Linked DNA regions of Danio rerio. The protein of the gene in region 1 purifies or fractionates together with the protein of each later gene. This does not show direct contact. Links are inferred from orthologs where the notes say so. Each region holds a gene or a part of one and is shown in the gene's direction. Other genes may lie near its edges.

The links.
Region 2: the proteins of sntb2 (region 1) and caska purify together in Homo sapiens (affinity purification with mass spectrometry; 3 studies listed by BioGRID and IntAct, with this or other methods). This does not show direct contact. The link is inferred for Danio rerio from reciprocal best matches to the Homo sapiens genes SNTB2 and CASK.

What each region holds. Positions count from the first base shown.
Region 1 is NC_133200.1:37,500,395-37,504,049, forward strand, and holds part of sntb2 (beta-2-syntrophin), read left to right. Parts: exon of another isoform or gene 1-207; intron 208-751; exon of another isoform or gene 752-1,600; coding exon 1,601-1,802; intron 1,803-3,655. UniProt on the Homo sapiens protein: Adapter protein that binds to and probably organizes the subcellular localization of a variety of membrane proteins. May link various receptors to the actin cytoskeleton and the dystrophin glycoprotein complex.
Region 2 is NC_133184.1:35,296,742-35,300,496, reverse strand, and holds the start of caska (peripheral plasma membrane protein CASK), read left to right. Parts: upstream 1-1,112; 5' UTR 1,113-1,658; coding exon 1,659-1,717; intron 1,718-3,755. UniProt on the Homo sapiens protein: Multidomain scaffolding Mg(2+)-independent protein kinase that catalyzes the phosphotransfer from ATP to proteins such as NRXN1, and plays a role in synaptic transmembrane protein anchoring and ion channel trafficking.

The sequences.
Region 1 (3,655 bases):
GGACAGACGACGAGGTCGAGTTGTTACTAAACGTAACAAATGAATAACTGCAGAATGGCGCCTAAAACAGACAATAGTGCAAACAACGCTCCCATTTCTGTGTCCATGTTGTTGATGACAGTGAAGGCTGGTCTGCTGTCTTCCGGTAGCGTTAAAGCCATGTGTTATAGTCATGTGATAGGGGCTTGACGAATAAGGGAAGGATACGCAATAGCTGCGTCCCAAATGGCACACTATACACTATGCACTCATGCACTATGTACTTATGCACTTACACACTCAACAGGATAGTACATGTATGTAGTGTTGTCCCAAATGGCACACTAATGTTTTTTTACTAAACGGAAATTCAAACCGTTTCCCTGATGACGTTTGACGGTTGCCAAATCAGTGAAATAAACGAACGAATTATCAAATAAAACCTGCCGTGAGTATTGCCGCATTCACCATCGGGAGGCGCTATAATCACTCTCGTAGGAGAATTTTGCTTTCTCCATCCAAAATAAATACAGTTATCCAACATGTGCGCTCGAAAGCTCCGCCCCTTCCGATACGTAAGCAAACCTGCGGTCGTTGAGTGCGTGAAGTGTCCATCATTCCACACTTCATTTTAGCGGCTGAATGAGGGCATCATCCGGGTAATTAAAGTGCACTTATTATTTTAAGAGTTTTCAGTGTGAACACACTACTTACACTATTTATACTACAAAATGGCGTAGAATAGTGCATAAGTATGCGATTTGGGACGCAGCTAATGACACAAAAGCCCCAATCAGGGAGCGAATCTCAGCGGTCCCGCCTCCGTTTTCAGATGTCTCCGTTTTTCCTCATCCACACCGAGACATTGCAGCAGTGTGTCAGTATGAAAACAGCCTCTCCAGCATTTTCAAAACGCTCCGTTTTTGCCGCTCGAGAACTCCGCCGTAGTGTGGGCGGATGGCGTAACCGTAGCAAAACTTATGCGTTTTAAAACGAAAACGCATTAGTGTAAACGGAGCCCTAGTGTCCACTTTTAGCGAGTCTCTTCTTTTCTGCTGCTGTAGCTCATCAGCTTCAAGGTTTGATGTGTTGTGTTCTGTAGGGTTGTGCAATATATCGCAGCAAACGTTCATGTATTTTGCTTCAAATAGATCTGCACCAAAGTAAATGTGTTCACAATTATCTTACACATGTCTCCATGTTCGCAAGGTACATGTGCAAGTTGCTGATCACGTTGGTTTTCGGGCAGTACCTAATAGCGTTGCTCCTGCTGCAGCTGTGATACAGCAACAAATTTCCTTGATTATTATAGCGAGAATGAGGGAATAGCCACTTTTCATTTTCCTTTTGTCTTAATAGACGATGTAACTACAAAAGAGTCTGGCTTCAAATAGGAAAATATGTGAGTGAGATGCTAATGGTCTAATCCGATTCAATGATCTATGCTAAGCTAATAGTGCTTTAATAGCAGTGAAAGAAACTCATAAAGGTTTCTAAAAACTTGAGGCAGAGTGAATAGTGAGTGAATTTACATTTTTAGTTGAACTATCACTTCATTCAAATCATTAAAAATGATGGTCTGTTTTGACTCCGCTTAAGACCACTTGTGCTGTGTGTGCAGTGAAGTACATCAGAGAAGTGTCTCCGCTCTTCAAGAAGTCCTCCATGAGTGCAGATTTGTCCTGGGATGGCCGTCTGCAGTCTCCAAACCTCAGCAGCAGTGATGAATCCCCCAAGAGCAGCGTCAGCCGAGACAGAAAGGTCATCCCGCTCAAAATGAGCTTCATCAGCCGAAACCTCACCATGCCTGACCCGGAGAACAGGTGAGTCCCAGATCTCAGAAGCAGCTCTGTGTTATTGAGCTTGACTTTAATTCTACTGTGAAGACAGAAACTATGTTTGGATTACACTGAGAGTCAAAACTTATGATATTTAATGATTTTAATGTCTCTTTTGCTTACCAAGGCTGTTTATTTGATGACAAATTTCACTGACGACGTGTACTTGATCAAATAAATACAGCTTTTGTGAGCAAGAGATAAATGTAGTCAGATGACATTGTTGACAGTCATATTGGCAAAGAAATCGATTCTGCATCAATTCTGACATTCTCAAAATGAGTCTTTCTTCAATTAATTTTGAGCAATTTTTTAACAGCAGGTAGCACTCTTGTTTTAACCAAGCATGGTGCTCTAGGCTAGTTGTAAACCAGAGATGGTGCTTTAGGCTAGTTTTTAATCACGGATGGTGCTCTACGTTATTTCTCAACAACAGACAGCGCTATAGGCTATGTGTGGTTTGTTTTTAACCACAGACAGTGCTCTAGGCTAGGCTAGTTTTTTTTAACCACAGACAAAGCACTAGGCTAGTTTTTAGACCACAAACAGTGCTTTAGGCTAGGCTAGTGTTTTGTTTTTAACCACAGACGGTGCTCTAGGCTAGGCTAGTGTTTTGTTTTTAACCACAGACGGTGCTCTAGGCTAGGCTAGTGTTTTGTTTTTAACCACAGACAGTGCTCTAGGCTATTGAGTTGTTTTTAACCACAGACAGTGATCTAGGCTAGGCTAGTGTTTTGTTTTTAACCACAGACAGTGCTCTAGGCTAGGCTAGTTTTTTTAACCACAGACAAAGCACTAGGCTAGTTTTTAAACCACAAACAGTGCTTTAGGCTAGGCTAGTGTTTTGTTTTTAACCACAGACGAAGCTCTAGGCTAGGCTAGTGTTTTGTTTTTAACCACAGACGGTGCTCTAGGCTAGGCTAGTGTTTTGTTTTTAACCACAGACAGTGCTCTAGGCTAGTGTTTTGTTTTTAACCACAGACAGTGCTCTAGGCTAGGCTAGTTTTTTTAACCACAGACAAAGCACTAGGCTAGTTTTTAAACCACAAACAGTGCTTTAGGCTAGTGTTTTGTTTTTAACCACAGACGGTGCTCTAGGCTAGGCTAGTGTTTTGTTTTTAACCACAGACGGTGCTCTAGGCTAGGCTAGTGTTTTGTTTTTAACCACAGACGGTGCTCTAGGCTAGGCTAGTGTTTTGTTTTTAACCACAGACGGTGCTCTAGGCTAGGCTAGTGTTTTGTTTCTAACCACAGACGGTGCTCTAGGCTAGGCTAGTGTTTTGTTTTTAACCACAGACAGTGCTCTAGGCTAGTTTTTTTTAACCACAGACAGTGCTCTAGGCTAATTTTTAAACCACAGACAGTGCTCTAGGCTAGTTTTTTAATAACAGATAGAGGGCTAGTCTTTTTAACCACAGGCGGTGCTCTAGGCAATTTTTTTTACCACAGATGGCACTCTACGCTAGTTTTTAACCACATATGGAGGGCTAGTTTTTTTTACACCACAGATGGCGCTCTAGGCTAGTCAGGCTAGTTTTTTAACCACAGATGGCACACTAGGCAAGCTTATTTTTTCTTAAATCTTTCCTAACTTTATTAATTATTATTTTAGCTTTGAGTAGTATTTTTAAAGATTTGCATGCAAGCAGACTACAGCTGTTTGTGAAGCGTACAGCACCACCTGCTGGTAAAACTAAGCTCATAATCAATAATGATATCTCTAAGGATTTTTCATTACAGCTCTAATCATTTCAATATATTAACAGTATTTGGTAATAGTGAAATAAATATATAAAAACATATTCTTATGTGGAGTTAATTATTAATGTGTAGATGCA
Region 2 (3,755 bases), on another chromosome or scaffold:
TGAAATTGGACAATAGAAGATTGGAAAAGCGTTGCCTGGTCTGATGAGTCTCGATTTCTGCTGCAACGGTTCAGGCTGGTGGTTGTGGTGTAATGGTGTGGGGGATATTTTCTTGGCACACTTTGTGCCCATTAGTACCAATTGAGCATTGTGTCAACGCCACAGCCTACCCGATTATTGTTGCTGACCATGTCCATCCCTTCATGACCACAGTGTACCCATCTTCTGATGGCTATTACTAGCAGGATAGCACGGCATGTCATAAAGCGTAAATCACTCAAACTGGTTTTTTGAACATGACAATGAGTTCACTGTTCTCAAGTGATTTCCACAGTCACCAGAACTCAATCCAATAGAGCACCTTGGGGATGTGGTGGAACGGGAGATTCACATCATAGATGTGCAACTAACAAATCTGCAGCAACTACGTGATGATATCATGTCAATATTGAGCTAAATCTCTGAAGAATATTTCCAGTACCTTGTTGAGTCGATGCCACAATGGATTAAGGCAATTCTGAAGGCAAAAGCGGCTCCAACATGGTACTAGTAAGGTATACCTAATAAAGTGGCCTGTTAGTGTATATTTATTATAGCTACTCTTAAAGATATCTCGTATAGACTCATATTAAATACATCATATTATGGCGTATTATTGTGGAAATGAATGTTCACCTATGATGTTGTCTGCTTTATTATACAGTATGTGTATGTATTGCCAATAATTATGTGCAATAATGTTTTATTCCCCAAACCACTTTTCAAATATTTTTTTATTATTATTACATAAACACATGTCTACAAAAACATATAGTCAAGCTAGTAAGTCAACTAAAGATTTTCAAGCGCAGTTCAATACGCTTTTTATCTAGGTAAACTGTCGCTTCAGCCAACAAACTCTGAGACGCCTGGTCGTCATTTTGGCTCAACCGCACGTGCCAGTCTATGCGGGAATTCCGGAATACGAAAGTCCTGTCGGAGCCATTATGGCGTAAGGCAATCCAGTTTCATAAGCGCGAGTGGGAGGAGTTTGGGTTTTCTGGAAGCTGGGAGCAGCAGCGCTGGAGTTATGAGGGGGAACTAGAGCAACGGCGGCGAGCAGGGACAGTCAGCGTGAGCGCGCACAGGGAAAAGCCGAAGCCGCGCGTGGCTAGAATGAGTGGAATCAACTGAACTGCGCACTTTAACAACAGCTTGCGTTTGAACACACAAACAAACCGCGTGCACGTCTTCTCCCCCGGCTCGAGTTAGTTAGTTTAGCGTCTAAACGACTTAACCCACTTGGTTCCGTGACTTCGGCAGCGATTATCGTGGAGTTGTTTTTAACGTTTGAATTACCTCAGCCTCGAGTGGCGGGATTAAGGGGGCCGAGAGAGAGGGAGGAGAAGGTGGGGCAGGGTGAGTCAAACGGACCGAGCGCTCACTACTGTCCGCTCGCTTCCACCAAACCACCAAAGGATAATTTTTCCCACCCAAAACCGACAGGAATCAACCATTCGCCGTTCATCGGAATTTGGAGAGCGATACAATCGGCTGTCAGCGTTTCTTTCGCGGCGCTCATTCCAGGTACTCTGAAGTGTCTGCTCGGTAATCCTCTGATATTTACCATTTGGACGGATTTTGGAGGGGGAGTGTAAATTCCCCGCTCTTGTTGGACCATGGCCGACGACGACGTGCTCTTTGAAGATGTTTACGAGCTGTGTGAGGTCATTGGCAAGTAAGTCTCACTTTGATAATGACACACGGGTGAATGTCCATCTGTGACTCGAGCTGCGCCTTTTGCGTTGTGTGTGTGTGTTTGTCTGCCAGACGAGTGTTGTCATTGCGTGAAATTCAGACTGTTGTGCTGCAGTGCTGTGCTGTTGAACACATGATAGTTAGATTCAGTCGTAACTCTTTACAAACTGCATGTTGTCTGAGGCTGGAGCAATGAGGAATGGGAGTGGCGAGTGTGAGAGATGAGAGAAGTGTACTTTGAGCGTTCGTGCAGGTAACGTTAGATGCCATCCACTACTATTGTTTTTGCATAGCTTCCTCTACTGCTGTCAGCGTTGATGTTTCTGCAAATGATTGTGTTTTGGTGGATAAACCAATTTCGTGTCACCTGGCTTTCATGTGTTATCTAGAAATGTCAGGTTTGTGCTTGCAGTCTTGTTCGTTTGTAGTTGTTACTGGTATTGACCACTATACCTGTACTTTACGTGTGCTGAGAGTTCTAGCCATTATAATATTGAGGTAAAGTGGGTTTCATATTCACATATCTGTTTATTTTAATGGTCATTGTATTGTTTACCACGCTACTTTGAATATTTGCTCTGAAATCGCATTTAAGTATCACCACACAACAACATCAGCACTGTTTAATTGACTGAACAATGTTGTACTTCAGTCATTGGCTGCTAATATGATTTCACTATTCAGAATTTGCTAATATTTTTCTGAAATTATATTATTAAGGACAAAGTCTGAATATGTAAATATTTGGAATATAAAGCAAACTTTACCTTAGTATTATAAATAGTTGTTTGATGTGAGTATAACATAATAAATGCCTTAAATGCAATGCATTATTAGTATTATGTATGTGTATGTGTGTTTATAATATTCAATGTAATTGCTATTTAATAATTTGTGTATTTTATTTACTTTTTTAATGTTGTATTTATGTTGTAAAACGCATTACAAAAATATACAAAAATGACAACATAAACATTTAACAATAAGCAAATACACTGAAGAATATTTTTAACAAAATAAATAAATGAATAATAAAAAAAAAAACACTAGTTCAATCTTACATACAGAAAATACAGGTCTACAATTTGCTGACCACAACTAGTATCCAGTACCAAGCTGGGAGTTGGGGGTGGGGACTCAATCAGAAGGGGCAGGGTTAAGCTGAAAAGTTTGGACATGTTTGCGAAGGGGTTCTCACAGTTTACTGAAAATTGTGCTAGATTGATGAAGAGAGTACCTATTTTTTTCATTTATTTTCTTTTCGGCTTAGTACCTTCATTATTCTGGGGTCGCCACAGAGAAATGAACTTATCCAGCATGTGTTTCACACAGCGGATGCCCATGCCCTTTTAGCTGCAACCCAACACTGGGAAACACCTATACACACTTTCACACATACAGGGAGAACATGCAAACTCCACACAGGTATGCCAACTGATCGAGCCGGGGGTCAAACCAGCAATCTTCTTGCTGTGTGGCTGTTGTGCTACCTACTGCACCACCATAGCGCCATTTTCTCATTTTCTTTACTTTTTACATATTTTTATAGATGCAGACTTAAATATGAGAATTTGTTTTTCATTATTGCTGTGAAATGTGATATTTGACAGTTAAAACTTTGCTTTTATTTGGATTTTTTTCACATTCACACTGTAGCCTTGAAAGCCAGAGTGTAATATAATATAAAATAGTGTAATGTAATTAGGGCAGCATGATATTGAACAAATCTGTCATTTCGATATTTTGTTTTGCTGCGATATGAATACAGTTTCACGAGATGGCTTGAATAGCTCTATTTGTGTAAACAAAATAAAATAAATGAATTATTGATTGGTTGATTTTGGATGCCTGTGAATCATGTATTAAATTGCAAGAATAATTACAATAGAGTAAAGAAAAAATTTAAATAAACAGTTATTTATGGTTTTCCGGAGTGTCAAACAGTATTCAGATACAGACATTTAATAATATAATGTCAAATATTACTGTATAGTCTTTATTATATTTATAAATCAGTA